2 linked regions of the Mus musculus genome follow. The protein of the gene in region 2 binds, or shares a complex with, the protein of the main gene of each other region. Links are inferred from orthologs where the notes say so. Each region holds a gene or a part of one and is shown on either strand. Other genes may lie near its edges. The genes, in order: Proz and Serpina10.

Evidence for each region.
Region 1: the proteins of Serpina10 (region 2) and Proz are in contact, whole or in part, in a crystal structure (PDB 3H5C), measured with the Homo sapiens proteins. The link is inferred for Mus musculus from reciprocal best matches to the Homo sapiens genes SERPINA10 and PROZ. Residues at the interface, in NP_001094077.1 of Homo sapiens: Arg88, Lys89, Ser91, Met92, His94, Asp95, His257, Asp259, Lys260, Tyr261, Asn282, Phe283, Lys305, Met306, Asp308, His309, Leu310, Ala311, Leu312, Asp314, Tyr315, Leu316; in NP_003882.1 of Homo sapiens: Cys129, Pro131, Cys141, Leu142, Pro143, Ser151, His250, Met251, Arg252, Asp254, Ala257, Glu259, Asn260, Glu284, Lys285, Asp286, Phe287, His290, Leu291, Thr336, Thr337, Arg338, Arg390, Ser392, Leu393, Trp394, Gln397.

Annotation. Positions count from the first base shown.
Region 1 is NC_000074.6:13,059,273-13,063,817, reverse strand, and holds the start of Proz (vitamin K-dependent protein Z isoform 1 precursor), read right to left. Parts: upstream 2,911-4,545; 5' UTR 2,789-2,910; coding exon 2,719-2,788; intron 568-2,718; coding exon 404-567; exon of another isoform or gene 274-403; coding exon of another isoform or gene 250-273; intron 1-249. UniProt on the Homo sapiens protein: Appears to assist hemostasis by binding thrombin and promoting its association with phospholipid vesicles. Inhibits activity of the coagulation protease factor Xa in the presence of SERPINA10, calcium and phospholipids.
Region 2 is NC_000078.6:103,628,366-103,632,848, reverse strand, and holds the start of Serpina10 (protein Z-dependent protease inhibitor isoform 1 precursor), read left to right. Parts: upstream 1-1,404; 5' UTR 1,405-1,465; intron 1,466-3,851; 5' UTR 3,852-3,890; coding exon 3,891-4,483. UniProt on the Homo sapiens protein: Inhibits activity of the coagulation protease factor Xa in the presence of PROZ, calcium and phospholipids. Also inhibits factor XIa in the absence of cofactors.

The sequences.
Region 1 (4,545 bases), on a different chromosome or scaffold from region 2:
AGAACTCATGAATAATTAAAAATGTCGAACTCTTACCTGACCGTTTAGTGTAAATGCATGTGTGAGAAAAGATGTTCCTTAATCATGGGCCATGGGGAGTGTTCTTGCTGTGAGTCTGTAAGGGGAAAGTTTCGTCTTTCTAAAATTCTCCTGGCACGTGCAAGCAGCAGAGAGCGGTGCTTTGGCTGTGGTGTGATTGGCAGGTCTCCCCAGCAAGGCAGCCTGACCAGAAGGGAGTGGGGTCCTCACCTGCTGCTGAGGCTCTTGCTGCATCTCTAGGTCTCCTTTTTCATGTGTGAGGTCAGGCTTGCGCCAACCCCAGCATAAGGAAACGAACTAGTTAGTCCTGAGACAATTGTGCATGAACTGTTAGACAGCACACGGGCACTGAGGGCTTTCGTACCGTGATGACGTCATTTTCAAACACTTCTCTTGCCTCCTCGTAGTTGCAGACTTCCTCATAACACTCCTTCTCCAAGTTTCCCTGGAAGATTTCTTCCAGGAAGTACGAACTACCCCGCCTCCACCTCCGCAGAACGTTGTTTGCCTTCGGGGCTGGAAGAAACACTGTAGAGAGGCAGAACAGTGTGAGCAGGGGGCCCTCTCTCACCCAGGACCTCAGCTAGCGTACGCTGTTCCCCACTGGTCAGTAGGGCCTGCTCTGTGCATCCTCACTCCTCGGCTGGGCGTGTACTTTCTCTTGGTTGAGTGAGTGGATGGCCCTTGTGAGTTTTAGGCAGACACATTGGCATTTTATGGATCGAGGATCCAGGCCCAGAGAAGCCACGCTATGTCAGCTGCAGTAGGTGAGAGTCCATGCCCCCTCAGCTGCGGTAGGTGAGTGTCCACACAGAAGCATGAAGACATGGGCAGGCACACCATCCATCGTCTGCCTCAATGTTATCTACCCTGGCACTTTTCAATCTTGGTGTCACAAAAATGTAACACCCGTGGACAGATACACAGTAGGTCACCAAGTGCTTTATGGAGAGTGGAGGGCATCCTTGTGTGAACAAGAAATACAGGAATATATTTGCTTGCATATGCTTGGCCAAGGGAGTGGCACTACTAGAAGGTGTGGCCCTGTTGGAGTAGGTGTGTCACTGTGGGTGTGGGCTTTAAGACCCTTATCCTAGCTGCCTGGAAATCAATATTCTGCTAACAGCCTTCAGATGAACTTTTAGCTCCTCCCACACCATGCCTGCCTGGATGCTGCCATGTTCCCACCTTAATGATAATAGACTGAACCTCTAAATCTGTAAGCCAGCCCCGATTAAATGTTGTTCTTACAAGAGTTGTCTTGGTCATGGTGTCTGTTCGCAGCAGTAAAACCCTAACTAAGACACAGGGATCATGTGGCTTCTCCACAGTAGGAAGGAGTCCTGAACAGGCAGACAGACAGACAGCTCTGGGCTCAGGGAGCACTAGGGTAGGCTAAATTGCTCCCTTAGGCCCAGCTCAGGCCCACATGGTTTTCCTTCCTGCACATTCATAGGGCAGAATTGGGCTCTGAGTGCCTCGTACCCATGCTGCCATCTTGGACTCTTTGGGCAGTGGTCTGAGGAGAGAACAGCCTGCCAGAAAGATGGACACAGCTTGGTGTTGATGTGGCAACAAGGCTTTGTCCACAACAACGACAGATGCCATCACAGGACTTAGAGATCTGGTCCTACTCACCAGGAGCATCCAGCTCACGGTCACTGTCAACAGCAAGTTAACAGTGCTCTCTCTCTCTCTCTCTCTCTCTCTCTCTCTCTCTCTCTCACACACACACACACACACACACACTCCACTGTGCAAGGTACCAAGTAGTCCCATACATGCAGATCACAAGGCTCGGCAGGCTCAACCCTACAACTGTGATTTTCTGAGCACCTTTGTGTTCAGGCCCGGGTGAGTGCGGAGAGCCGGCAGACAGAACTTGCCCATGTGGGCTCCATCCTCACAGGGAGTTAGCATTGAGCAAACTTCCACAGGAGTGTGAGGCATGAACGGAGGGAGTGTGGAAGTCAGAGAGAGTGGAGGTCAGCGGCCTGGAACCACACACAGATGGCCCTGAGGAGACTTAGAGAGGCCGGGAGTGCCACAGAAAGCTTAGATGCTCCAGGGTGGAGACAGCAGGGTGGATCCAGGCCCAGGCTAGCTGTCCCGCAGTCCTCTGGCACAGAATAAGAACATCTGGCACATAGACAGGCTGCAGCCTAGCTTTGGCTAAGGGGTGGCCAGCCTGGTCTCATCCTGCACAACTTAGGCTGTACCACACTGACTTTCAGGAGGGAGAATGAGATCATGGCTTGTCCTTTCAAGCCCCTAGAGACCGGATCATCTCTAGAACCATTGAGTGTCCCAAGGATGAGATGGCTAGGTCTGGTGATTCATTCCTGTGGTTCTAGCATGTGGGAAACTGAGGCAGGAGGATTGCCAAGAGCTGAAGATAGACTGAACTACATAGTAAGTCCTAGACCAGCTTGAGCTATAGAATAAGACTCTGCCTTAAGAAAATGTTTTGCCCTTCAGTTACTTGATATGCCAGGATGGGTTGGTACCCGGGGGGGGGTGGGGCTCCCCCTTTGCAGAGGAGAAGGGGAGGGGTGGGGGAGGGGCTGTGTGAGGGGGGTGCCGGGAGGAAGGGAGGTGCAATCAGATTCTAAAGTGAATAAATAAATTAGTGGGGAAAAGCGAGAACATTTTCAAAAGAACAAAACAGCAAGTGCCTACCGGAAAGCTCCACCTGGTGCAGGATGAGGGTAAGGATGAAGCCCCGGAGCAGCAAGATGCAGCCAGCCATGCTAACCCAGAGCCTGGCTGGCCCAGGCAGAGCAAAGTCTGCAAACAGCCAAAGTCCAGGGCCCTGGGAAGCACTGCGGTCAGTGTGTGCCTCAGAACACACAGAGGCTAGCCTAGATGACCCATGGACCCAGAGGCTCGGGGAGGAGGCTCACTCTCATTCCGCTCCTTCCGGATTTACTGTTAGGGAGAGAGAGACGTGGAGGGGATCTCTGCACAGGTGGGCTCATTTCCCCCACAAGGCGCCTTCCTGGGTCCGGGCACAGCAGTGAGTGGGAAGGATGCCACCGCAGGGAATATGTAGTCTTACAGAGGAGAGGCAGGTAGCATTAACAGGGAAGGGAATTTTACAGTGCAAAGTTCCATGATGAAAATGGGCAGGTGAGAGACCTTGGTGAGAGTGCACAGCGGGATCTGAGACATGCAGGAGGAAGCCAGCTGGCGTGTCTGGAGCCAGACGCACAGGGACGCTGGAGTAGGAGGAGACGAAAGTATCGTGAGCAAATGTGTCCTATCAGTGCAGCAGGTGCCTGTATCTTTGGTTGAATGAAGGACAATCACAGGGGCAAAAATCTAATGACACCTATAAGCACAATTATTTATTAAGGTAGAGAGTGAAGAAGACAGAGAGGGCAGCACCCTATCTTCAATGCATACACTGTGGAGTTGTTTTTAAAAAGTTGGATGAGAAACAAATTCAACTGTACCTTTCGTGAGTGACCCAAGCTGGAAATTAATTTTCTAGGATCAAGCAGGTGACGTTCAAGCAGTCTTGAGGTCTCTCTGTGCTGTGTCTTAGGGAAAGGCTGAAGAGATCTGTCTGTGGGGATCCATCCCACGTGAACATTTACACACTGTTAAAAACTAATCTCAAAACCAAGAACAGCCACTTGAGAAGAGGGGTCCAAATCCTTCCCGTCAGCACTCAGGGAACTCTGAGGAAGGAATGCTGGGAAATTTGTAAGAGCCCGAGGTAGACACGAGACAACAAAGAAAGTGGGCCTTCTCAATACAATGGGATGGACACACGTATGGACACAGACACGGGGCAGCGTGCACACATCTATGCCAGACGGCTCCCAGGCTGGGAGGGGAGGTAGACACAAACCCCACTAGGAACCCAGAAGTTCTCTCCAGTTGGCAAGCACTCTCAAAGGAAAAGTTCGTTTTCCCCAATGGAGTCCCACTAGGAAGACAAACCACACTTAAAGGCAGGTCTCATGCCCAGCAGATGGCCAACACAAACCAAGCTCAATGGTATTTTCTCAGGGTTGGTTTGTTTATTTGTTTGACTTTTCATTTTTTTATTTTTATTTTTTTTGTCATCATCTGGGTATGTCTTTCTTACCTCACAGGTCATCTGTTTACACATTATAGCTTCTGACTTTTTTTTCCTTTTTTTTTTCTTTTTGTTTTGGTTTTGGTTTTTTGAGACAGGGTTTCTCTATGTAGCCCTGGCTGTCCTGGAACTCACTCTGTAGACCAGGCTGGCCTCGCAGCTGAATGTGTGGCCTGGACTAAAAGTCGGTCTTCCCCCTCAGAAGATCCAGATTAAAAGTCGGTCTTCTGCGCCCCCACCATGATTCAATCAAGAAAGTGCCCAGACACTAAGGTCTCAGTTTATTTCAGACAGAGTCAGTGATGCCAAGAAGAGCCATCACAGGCCTTAAGCTTTCAGACTCAGTGTCTCTGGCCTCAGCTATTTCTGACAGTTCTGTGCTAATGTCACCTAGATCATGTTTTTTTCTGAAGAATTTT
Region 2 (4,483 bases):
CTATTTGTGAGTTCCTGTCCTGACTTCCTTTGGTGATGAACAGCAATATGGAAGTGTAAGCTTAATAAACCGTTTCCTCCCCAACTTGCTTCTTGGTCATGATGTTTGTGCAGAACTAGAAACCCTGACTAAGACAGCAATGTTGATGATCTTTAATAAAATATACTAATCCATGTCTATGTTGTGGTTTGAAAAACTGAAAATGTGTTGGGAGTCCTTGGTTCAGGTGAGATGTGTCAGCTAGCCACCTCTACCTGTGAGGAGGGGCCTGCCAGCCGGTGATCACATGCCACTCCTTAGTCTGCTTTCAAGCAAGGTGCCTCTCAGGATGACAGGCCACAAACTTCCTGTCAGCCAGTGCATTGCTTAATGGAGTTCTTCCTCAATGGCTACCTTCCTGTCCAATGAGTGTCCTCCATCATGAGATGAGCAGATAGATGGTCACATCTGCCAGCACAGATATCCTGGAACACCGCTGTACTTAAAGGCGTTATTTTCTTTTGCCTTCATGTTATAGCTGGAACATTACTGTTTCTTATCTGCTTTTTTTAATTTGAGAAATCCTTTTATTTATTTTTTTTCAGATAGGGTCTCATGTAGCCAGGCTGGCCTTAAACTTGCTATGTAGCCACGAATGACCTTGAACCTCTGATCCTCTTGCCCCCACTTCCATAGTGCTGGGATAACAGGTGTGCTCCACTGAGCCTTATTTCATGCAGTGCTAGGGACCAAAACCTGGAGACACTCAACGAACTGAGCTATAACCACACCCCATCGCTGGTTTGTTGTTGTTGTTGTTGTTGTTGCTGCTGCTGCTGCTGCTGCTGTTTCTCTTTTGATTGTTGTTGTTGTTGTTGTTTTTTCAATTTTGTGGGTAGGGTATATAAACTTTGTCTCACTTCAAGGCTAGAAAGGGACATATAGCAAAACTTACAATGACAACCTAGTAGGTCTGAAAAGCTGTACCTCACAGGGTGCTTTCCAGCTCAGGCTCTGAGTACTTGAGAGGTTCAGCCTCAAGAGACAGAAGGTAGTACATTGACCTTGTGCAGGGCTTGTATTGTAAGACATGACCCAACAGGAATCCAGTCTCCATTACTGGACTGACAGTTCCTTACGGACAAGACAGTGGGTCTGAAATTCTACCCAAATCCCTTTATGGTTCCCAGAAGCAGCCATGAGGCCCATGATAACCTTCTTTCTAGAACCTTCATCCCCACCCCAATGAGGGTGAGACTCTTGTGAATTCTGGTCATAGTTGGGGCCATAGGACGAGCCTGGGGAATACCAGAAGTTCTTTGGTTTTCTGGAAATGCAATCATATCCCAGCAGGGTGTTAATCAGTAACAGTCCCCAGAGGCCCACACTTTGGAATAACAAATATTTACTGAAGGCTTTGGGCTGCAAAGCTTCTGCTTGCCTCTTTGCTCTGAATGATCTTCTCGGCACCAGAGGTCCAGGACTGGTAAGAGGTGGTGGATGGCAGGGGTGCCTCTAGAGTGTCTACCAGGGAGAGGTGGGAGAATAGCTGTTTTCTCGCTCTCACTCTCTCTCTCCCAGTGGGCTTCAGCAGGGAGTGGGTGGGGTGGGGGAGTTAGAGGGCAAGAATGCTGTCTTTCACCTAAACTCCAAAGGACTGTACATTGAAGTTGGGCTCCGGGTAGCATCAAAAACATGTTAGCCATAGATAGGAGGCAGCCAGGGCAAGGGCTCTGAAGGCCTGGTATTTGTCTGCCACAGCTCACTGCCGAAGCAAGTGAGCCAGGGCTGGGGGGAGGTAAGGGAGGCACTGCTCTACACACATGCTCAGGGCTAAGTGTCAGGTAGGTAGCTTATTTCCTGCCCATCTCAAACTCTGTGGGACAAGGTGTGCCCTCTATACACCCGACGCTGCCCTAGGTCCCAGGAGCACCCCGTGTATATTGTGTATGGCTGTCATGATGATGATGAGGGACCTGAAAAGACAAGTTACCCTCTTCAGTAAGCAGGCGCAGCAACGGTCAGGTGCTACAGAGACACTTCAGGGGACGACTTAGTTCTAGGAAAGTGGGACATTGTGCTGGTGTGTTGGGAAATGTTCCTGACGGCCGAGACAATGACAAGTAACTATGGAATCAGGACTAATCTGAGCGCTTAATTTACAAAGCAGAGCTAAATACCATGACAGAATTCTCCCGGGGCAGCTCAGGCTGTTGGGACAGAATAGCCAACAAATGTGCAAATGTGTTTGCACAGTTCTGGAGGCCCAAGGTGAGGGACAACATGGTTGGGCTGTGATGAGGGCTCACCTCCTGGTTTGCAGATGGTGGTCTTCTCAGTGTGTTCTTGGTGGAGAGAGGAAGGCTCTGGTGTCTCTTCCTCTTCTTATAAGGACACTAAAGCCCTCACAATCGCCCCACAATTCAGACATCATCTAGTCACTCTCAAAGGCCCCACCTTGCCATAGCCTCACCTTGGAGGATATGGCCTCAGTTTTGAGTTGTGAAGGACTAAAGGCAAGTTGTCCATTTAAACAAAAAGATGAATGTATGACACTGGAGATGTTTCGTACCTGGAAAGAAGTAATGACCCGATGCTTACAGCAATGTGGTGACCTACTAAGGGGCCTCATCATTATGGCTGGGAAGCAATTCCTAAATGGTAACATTTGGGAGACCCAGCAGGGTTATCCAGGCTAGAAAGTGGGGATGCTGGCTTCTTTGGGGTCATTTAGCAAGACCTGTGTCTTGGGGCTGGATGTGGTTTGTTACGGGTACAGAAGAGGGACTGGGAGCAACTGGAGCGCTTCTTGTCACATTCTGACTTAGAGTCTAATGGTCAGAGTGAGGGGCTGTGCTGATGGGACCTATCAAGCATCCCCAACACCTATGGCTTGAGCATCTTGCCATCCAGATCTTCCTATTGTCCAGCAGAGAGTGAGCTATTGGGAACATCTTAGTGGCATAGGCAGCCAGCCTCTAGGACACTGGTAATATTGCTGTGAACACGATGTAGTGGCACAACTCAGAGCCAGGTTTCGGATCTGAGCACACAGATGAATCTCAAGAGAGGCAGACAGACAGTCACGGGGAGCGGGGTGGGGCAGGAAAGTCGCTACCAGGGCAGACTCCCTCAGGCTGCAGAACTGGGGCACAGACAGCCAGTGTGTGCCATGGGGGGAGGGGCAACGAGACTGAGCGACTTGAACCCAGGTCTTGTGTAGAAAAAGAATCGGCTGTGTTTCCTGCAGCCACCTAGGAGCTGTGGGTAGAGGACTGAAAGAAGACCTATCGGGAACTGTGTACAGGAGATTCAGGAAAGAACCGGCTTAAGTCAGAAAATTGTGGGGAGGCTTCCTTTTCTTTGCTGGATCCCCTCTTGGACCCTCCAAATCCCTAGTCAAAGGTGTCCCATATTAAGGTTCTGTGACGCAGCATGGAGGGGCTGTTTGATATGCCTAGTAGCCAAATGATAAAGGAAAAGCTCGAAGCAGCTCAGTTAATGGCCCCAGCTCCCACCTGATCCTGCTCTAGACCAAAGGGCCACATTTGGCCCTGCCAGAGGAAAGCAAGGGAACAGAAACTGGGGGAGGGACCACACATTGCTCAAGGATCTGCTCAAGAAGATGGGACTTGGAAGAAGTCTTGTAAAATGCCCCCATTCCCTAACCAGGTGGATGAATACACCGCCTATATGCTCTAGGTCAGTCTAGGGTATAGCTAACCTGTGATCAAGCCAGGGGAGCCCACACTTAACTTGGTAGGAAGGAAGAAGAATCATGGGAGAAATTTTTGCCTGGCAAAGATGTTTTATTAGGTGCTGAGATATTCTTCGTTCTCATTCATTCATTCTCTGTCTTTCTCTCTGCCTAGGATGAAGGGAAGTGGCCCCTGGCCTCCACAGCTGACCACATGAGGGTGGCTTCTAGCCTCTTTCTTCCTGTCCTCCTGACAGAGGTGTGGCTGGTGACTAGTTTCAATCTCAGCTCCCATTCACCAGAGGCTTCCGTTCACCTGGAGTCTCAGGATTATGAGAATCAAACCTGGGAAGAGTACACACGGACTGATCCCAGGGAGGAGGAGGAGGAGGAGGAGGAAAAGGAGGAAGGCAAGGATGAGGAATATTGGCTGAGGGCCAGTCAGCAGCTCTCCAATGAGACTTCAAGCTTTGGGTTCAACCTGCTTCGAAAGATCTCCATGAGGCACGACGGCAATGTGATCTTCTCACCTTTTGGCCTGTCTGTGGCCATGGTGAATTTGATGCTGGGGACCAAGGGAGAGACCAAAGTCCAGATAGAAAATGGACTCAACCTACAGGCCCTGAGCCAAGCAGGACCCCTGATCCTTCCAGCCCTCTTCAAGAAGGTCAAAGAGACCTTCTCCAGCAACCGGGACCTGGGCCTCAGCCAGGGTAGCTTTGCCTTCATCCACAAGGACTTTGATATCAAAGAGACCTATTTCAATCTCTCCAAGAAGTATTTTGATATAGAGTATGTGTCTATAAA